Linked DNA regions of Oryza sativa Japonica Group. The main gene of each other region encodes a partner of the protein of the gene in region 2 in a complex. Links are inferred from orthologs where the notes say so. Each region holds a gene or a part of one and is shown on either strand. Other genes may lie near its edges. The genes, in order: DNA-directed RNA polymerase II subunit 4 and DNA-directed RNA polymerase II subunit RPB7.

What was found.
Region 1: DNA-directed RNA polymerase II subunit RPB7 (region 2) and DNA-directed RNA polymerase II subunit 4 share a complex: the UniProt entries of both Arabidopsis thaliana proteins name them as parts of the RNA polymerase II complex. The link is inferred for Oryza sativa Japonica Group from reciprocal best matches to the Arabidopsis thaliana genes NRPB7 and NRPB4.

The regions. Positions count from the first base shown.
Region 1 is NC_089036.1:900,946-903,870, forward strand, and holds DNA-directed RNA polymerase II subunit 4, read right to left. Parts: upstream 1,400-2,925; 5' UTR 1,310-1,399; coding exon 1,261-1,309; intron 1,184-1,260; coding exon 804-1,183; 3' UTR 516-803; downstream 1-515. Other genes in the region: protein LPA3, read left to right, coding at 1,913-2,214, 2,363-2,393, 2,688-2,780, 2,881-2,925. UniProt on the Arabidopsis thaliana protein: DNA-dependent RNA polymerase catalyzes the transcription of DNA into RNA using the four ribonucleoside triphosphates as substrates. Second largest component of RNA polymerase II which synthesizes mRNA precursors and many functional non-coding RNAs.
Region 2 is NC_089039.1:19,589,794-19,593,949, forward strand, and holds DNA-directed RNA polymerase II subunit RPB7, read right to left. Parts: upstream 2,735-4,156; 5' UTR 2,656-2,734; coding exon 2,540-2,655; intron 2,450-2,539; coding exon 2,284-2,449; intron 2,178-2,283; coding exon 2,127-2,177; intron 1,813-2,126; coding exon 1,747-1,812; intron 1,422-1,746; coding exon 1,353-1,421; intron 876-1,352; coding exon 810-875; 3' UTR 572-809; downstream 1-571. Other genes in the region: 1-(5-phosphoribosyl)-5-[(5-phosphoribosylamino)methylideneamino] imidazole-4-carboxamide isomerase, chloroplastic, read left to right, coding at 3,096-3,192, 3,292-3,347, 3,637-3,844. UniProt on the Arabidopsis thaliana protein: DNA-dependent RNA polymerase catalyzes the transcription of DNA into RNA using the four ribonucleoside triphosphates as substrates. Component of RNA polymerase II which synthesizes mRNA precursors and many functional non-coding RNAs.

The DNA.
Region 1 (2,925 bases), on a different chromosome or scaffold from region 2:
TCTTGCCTTTTTCTGTGCTGTGTGCTTGTTATCTTGTACTTGGATGTCAATCTGTCACAGTGAGCTACAAGCAGCTCCACCATGCTGAGGAGGTGTTGAGGCTCAATTCGGATTCCCGGATCACCAGTGCAGTACAGAGTATATGTGTGCCGATGTTCATCACTGATGTGAGATAGAAGAACAAAGTTTTTACGGAAATTCTTACCCCTTTAGTCCTTTTTACTCGTAGCGATTACAGTGGAATCATGTTTGGTCTTCACATGTCAATAAAACTACACAAAAATTAGTACACCATTCAATTGTTGCAAATACGTGGTAAGGTAACCTCTTTTTAAACCAAACAGAACAAAGAAAATCTGGCTGGGTTGTTTCCTGGACAATTTTTTCTTCATCCTGTGCAACGGTTTCAATCAATAACATACTGGTAAAATCCTTTTTTTAAAATCACACATGAATAACTGATAGTAAAATGGAAACATCACTCCCAGAGATCATACATAACAGAAAGACAAACATAAGATAAAAGGAGTGATTATATGAATCAGTACTCCAATTCACCTCCTTTTTCTTTTCAAAAGTCACTAGATAGATATTGACTTAATCTCGGTTTTCATGATCTCACTACATTCCTCCTGAAGGTGATACACTGATACACAGCAGAACTTTGGATCGATTTGATATCGAACAAACCTCAACGAGCATTCAAATCAAATGAGCCCTAATTATGATTCACCTTCTCTCAAGAAGATAACACAGATATTAATTAGACAGTTCACCAGCAAATCTGATAAGCTACAGTCCTACTACTCGAACTTCTTGATAAGGGAGAGGTCGTTGAGCATCTTGTCGATCTTCTCGCTGCCGGGGTCGCCGACGAACCTGCCGCCGGAGCGGAGGGAGGGGACGAGGGCGGAGGCCTCGTCGCTGGTGTCGGGGCAGAGGTTGCCGAGGGTGCAGAGCTCGAACTCGGCGAGGCCGTAGCGGCTCAGCGTCTCCCTCACCTGCCTCACCGCGTCCGGGTTCTTGTACCGGCTGAACCGCTTCACGTACTGCAGCGATTTCTCGAACACCTGCGACACCTGCGACGACGGGTCCCCGTCCGACATGTGCTGGATCTGCTCGTACTTGTGCTCCAGGATTATCGCCACCTCGCAGTTCATCAGGCACTTGGCCTTCAAGAACTCTGCAACCCATCAAACCCTAGGTATCAAATCAAATCAAACCGATACCTCTACTCGATTCCGATTCGGACGGACTCACCTTCCCCGATCTTGAGCTCCGCCGCGTTCTCCTCCTCCTCGCCGGACATCTCGGCGCGCTCTCTCTCCCCTCTCGGTGGCTCACCTCAACCTCGGCGGCTATGGCGTTGGCGATGCGGCTGCGGGCGGAGTCTGGACTCGGGAGGGGAAAAGAAACCAAGGCGGCGAGAGGCGCCTCTTAACGGGCTGGACTCACGATCCGATTCGCTAACAGGCTAGGCCCATTAACGCATTGGGCCGGCTCGATCTGCACGAGCGTGTTCCTTTCGGGGTGATCTGGACCGTCCATCCGTTTACTACTCGACGGCGGCGGCGAGTGGTCGGCGACAAGGACGGCGGGCGTGTCGTCTTCCCCGGCGACGGCGGGGATATGAAGGGGCTCGATTCCCGAGGAGATCAGCATCGGGGGTGTAGCTCATATGGTAGAGCGCTCGCTTCGCATGCGAGAGGCACGGGGTTCGATTCCCCGCACCTCCACCTCACTTCTCTCTTTTTTTTAATTTATTTTTGGTGGATTTATCCGGTGCGGTGGTGCGGGCTCCACGTGGCAGTGAGGCAGGTGGTGGCCTCGAGGCGCCCGCGTGGATTGCAGTGGCGCTGCTCGTCACTTCGTCTCCTCCTCTCCACCACTCGTCGTCGTCGGCGGCGTGGCCATGGCGACACCCGCGCCGCTCTCCGGCCTCCGCCCGCGCGCTCCCGCTCCCGCTCCCGCGGCGCGCAGTCGCCTGTGCGGCCAGTCGCCGCCGGTCGTGGCCCCGCGGCTCGGGGCGTTCCCGCGGCGGCGTGGTGGGGCGGCACGGTGCTCGCCGCGCGCCGAGGCCGGGGACGTGGAGGCGCTTAGGGCGGGGGTGTCGGTGTACAAGCCGCGGTCCTACGACGTGCTCGTCTCCGACGCCGCCCGCTCCCTCGCCTGCGCCATGGACGAGGGCAAGACCCGCCTCGAGATCGAGTTCCCGTACGCCCGCGACCTATTCATTCCCTTTCCTCCATAGATTCGCGCCACCATCTCGCCTAATCTTTTACTTAGTTGGTTATTAATAATGCTTGCATTATCTCATCCTCCTTGTCTCATTTTTTTTTTTGGTGGTGGTGCTTGTGAAAAGGCCTCTGCCGAGCAACATCTCTTCTTACAAGGTATACTTTGCATTTCTATCTCAAGCTCGTCTCATAACTCACACTCATTGTTCTAGTTTCTTGCTTTGTTATGAGTGAATTCTGTAACAATGCAAAGACTAATCTTGATGTATATTATATAGACTGCTCTAGTTTCAGTTTGAATGCTGCTGCTACCTCTGTATAATGTTGTTTCAAAGCAGAATCTCTCTTTTTCCTTGGCTTCAAGTTAAAAAGGGTTTAGCTTTTGTTGCCACATACGTGTGATGAACGCTTGTTTCTAACCATCCTACCCTGCTTTGCTTCGTTTTCAAGGGTTCCTCGGACGAGTTCATCGACGCCAACATCCAGCTTGCTCTTGCTGTTGCCAGAAAACTTAAGGAACTCAAGGGGACTAGATCTTGTATTGTAAGTTCAAGTTTCATGCCTTGTCCTGCTCCAGAATCATTCTGGCATTTGTGGGCATATGCAAATCTTTTCTCATAAATTATCTTCTAGTTGATTCCAGGTGTTTCCTGACCTACCAGAAAAGCGCAGGGCATCCCAGTTGTTC
Region 2 (4,156 bases):
AGTTGCAAAATCAGTTTTTGGGGCATCTTAGGAGCCCCTTCTGTGTAGTGGAATCGTGGAAACGATGGTAACGATTGAATCGTCAGGAAGATCATTTTGGAAGATCATTTTGATCAAGTGTATGCACCGCAAGCCCCTTTGGAAGGAAGACTGAAAGGTTAACCTCTGGCTCTAACTTCTTTGCAGCCTTGCAGGTGAGTTGAGACTTATATATCCAAATAATTTTTGCTCTTTACCAATGTTTTATCTCCTGTCATCTGATTTCTGTTAATACCGCAGGAGCAGTGCCGTATGCAGATCCTTCATTGAAGGACCACGTGAGAATATTGAGTATAACTGCACAATCAAAGTATACTTCCTGTCTTCATTAGGAAGTGCCGTCAAGAACTTAAGTGGGGTGACCGCTGTGTTCTTGCTAACTTATTGTATCTGCCCTTAGCTTGATCCTAACATGAACAACTGACAGTGTAAACCTATCTTTTTTCATTAGCCCTTTCTTTCTCTTTAGTTTTATTTTGCAAGGATGCAGTTCGAAGCATTGAATGTTTAATTGCAAGGATACAGTGCAAAATTGTACAGTCCGTAAAAAGGTCAGAGTTTGATTAGTTAAATGACTGCTTGAAAGTTGAATCCCACAACACACTCAAGCAACAGTGCCAACTTGGTAAAGCGCCATTTATAGTGATGAAAATACAGGTTCCAACCCACTTACAGCCCCTTCCAGTGGGGCTTCCATATTTTAACACTACAATTCATCGGAATATTCCCGTTCAAGAGCATGAAGAGGCGTAATCTTGTCACCGGATAATTTACACTGCCGCACCAGGATCACTGATAACGCCCAGGAAGTCATCTTTTATTGTGCCAATGCAAAACTGCAACAAACATATTCAAACTGTTAGAGCATTGCACATCACCAGCTTAAACGGGGTTATGAGTTATGACAGCAAGAACATGGATTCAGAAATGCCTCAGGGAAGAATATAGCCACATGCATTCAACAATTATCTATTATGATACCATACTAGTGGCTAGCTTATGAGCATTCATGGTAATTACTTGCAATTTGTTGCTACAAGATTACATGTCAAATTTTCATTTTGATATACTTTTCAACTAATTTACTTGACACACATCAAGGTTGATCTTTGCTGATAAAACCACATCTGTTCTTTTTCACACATTAGGAAAGAAAAACATCATGCAAACTACTGGTATGGAAAAGTGGGTTACATCACCAATAATTGCATATGGTGGTTACTCTGAGAGCAATGCTACAAAAATCTAAAAGACAGGGAACACCTGGTTTTTCGTTTGTTTTTTTGCACGAAACTAGATGTCAACAAACTTACAATTTCTGTTGCATCAACACGTGTCCCAATAATCTTCAACCGAACCTCACTATCTTTCTGAATTTTCACCTGCATCGGACAAACAAGTAAATCCTAGTAAGCAAAAGAAGATGGCCAAAGCAATTAGCCTTCAACAGTAGTACAGTATTCACATCTATTCGTTTCTAGGAAAAACAATGAACATATATGTGTATGCATTTCAAGCATAGTTATGACATGCTGATACCAAAATTGGATACAATGGACATTACATTACATTCCCCAGCATTTCTTTTTAAGTCAGACATATCACCAATAAGCATAAATAAACAGGAAAAAAAATCATAACCTGTCAACAGTTGTCAATGTTTATAGAGGACAAGACATAAGAAGTAACTGTAGAAAAGAAGCATACCGATCCATCAGAAGTAGTATAATTTGGCACATCCCCAGATTGGAACTCCATATCATCAGGAATCAACTGCACAACAAAAATAGAAACGGGAAAATGCAAGAACAAAACATTAGTTGGTTAGAAAGCACAAATTCAACTAGAACCTTATGTTGCCTTCCAGTCACTTTAAGATTGTTCAAACCAACATGTTTGATAAATTAGTATCAGAAATTTCTATGACAAAAACCATCCTTCGAGTTGATGGTACAGCTAAACTGGGTGTATGAAAATGGTACTGAACCATTATCGTCTATCGATCATTCTAGCATAAATTCTGATTCTTTTACTCCACAAATTTGGAGCATTAGAAAAAAGCAGCTCCAAGCAATGCAGGCACTCACATGGTTGGACACGAAGATCTGCACAGGCCCAGCCTCCGCGAAGAACCCCATCTGCAGAACCAACACGAAAACGAATTGGAGCCACTAACCACAAACAAGCCCTAATCCACCCAACACCAAATACCAATCCGGCGAGGGACGGAGGCACATCGCCCACCTTGTTGACCATGGTGACGACGGCCTCCAGGATCTCGCCCTTGAAGGGGCGGAAGACGACGCACTGGTACTTGACCGGGAAGGTGACGTAGCCCGTGCCCTCCCTGATGAGCCCCTTGCCGACATCCTCCACCCCCGTGATCGCCACCACGAACCCATGCCGCCCGCTGCAAAAGGACGAACAAGAATGAATCCCGTCGAACCCCACATCCCCTCCCCGCCCTACTAGGGTTTGCCCAACCAATCCCGAGCCCTACCTGCAGGTGCCCTCGACGTCCTTGATGAGCTTGGAGACGAGCTTGTCGCGGAGGTGCGGGCCGAAGTGCCGCGGGTGCAGCTGCATGTTCCGCTCCAGCACGATGTGGAAGAACATCTCGCCCCCTCCTCGTCCGCGCCGCCGGCGAGCGAGCGAGCGAGCGAGCGATTCCTCAACAGTTCGACTCAACTGGCTTGGCTTCTCTCTCGCGAGAGGCAATATTATTAGCCCTGACGAGGCGTTCGAGCCGTCGGATCAACGCCCCTGTGCATATCCTGGCCGTCCAATAAATCTCTTTACCTAGTTCGGCTTGGGCCTCGCACCGACTCCGACTCCGACCCCGACTCCGACTCGCCGCCGCCCTTGCGCCGCCTCCGCGGAGCCCTCCCCTCCCCGCCGGCGGCGGCTGCGAAGGTGCGGCACGTACGCGCTGGTTTCTTCTTCTTCTCTCCGAATCGTGTCCTGGGTTGGGGGGGGGGGGGGCTCCCGCATGCTTGCTTGCTTCTGAATTTGCTTCGCGGGTGTTTGTTTGTTGGTTGTGGCAGCGACTGGATTGGATGGCATCGAGGGTTCCGTCTCCACCGTGCGCGGCGGCGCGGTCCGGTTGGGCTGTCCCGATGGTCTCCGTCCGGCCGGCGAGATCCGGCGTGGCGAGTATGATGTCCCTTTCGATTCGATTCTCTGTATGGCTCGATTTGTTACTGCTTGTCGCGAATTGGGGGAAAAACTGGGATTGCTCGTTTGTTTTGGCAGGAGGACGTGCTGTGGTGTGCGCCGTTATCTTCAGGCCGTGTATCGATATTCATAAGGTCCGTACGAGTGGAACACTTGCTTCCTCTTATGTTTCATGGGTGTTCTGAACATTAACATGATCGTAAATTGATACCCCAACTTTGTAAGCAAAGTACTTTCAGAAGTTTTTTCAGCTTGTATGCTCCAAATTTTCCTGCGATGCGATTCACCTGGAACACCGTGATATTAAAACTAAAGGCTTATGCATTGATTTCTACTGTCATTTTGCAACCATGTGAGTTCAGTTACTTCTGGCATTAACAGTGTCATTTATCTGATGGGCTGTTTCTTAATATAAATTTTCAGGGGAAAGTTAAACAGATTGTTGGCTCTACTCTTCGGGATTCATCAAACGATGGCACGGCACTTGTTACAAATTTTGAATCAGACAAACCTCCAGCAGAATTTGCAAATATATATAAAGAGGATGAACTTATTGGTGGACATGTAATCATGCTTGGTGCAGATCCTGCTAGTCAAGCTGCTGCCATGGAAGCACTACATGCATATCCTGGTGAGAATGTTATCTAGCTGTTACCTGTTAGCATAATTATGTTGTTATTTGGACTAGTTCTTTTGTGAGCAGCTGTCTGTAGTTGTTTGTTCTTTACTGTTATCAATAATAATTATGATATAAAGCCACATTTGTGACTATTGAATATATGGGTGCTTACAGTGTATATAATTTAATAAGTGCAGTGTTTGTTTTTATTTTCTAAAAAAAACTAGCTGATACAAAATATCATGTAGCTATTTGAGAGCAATGAAAAATACTTTGCCAAAATGCAACTCTAGGGGAAAAAACTTAATAACACTTCTTCCTTTT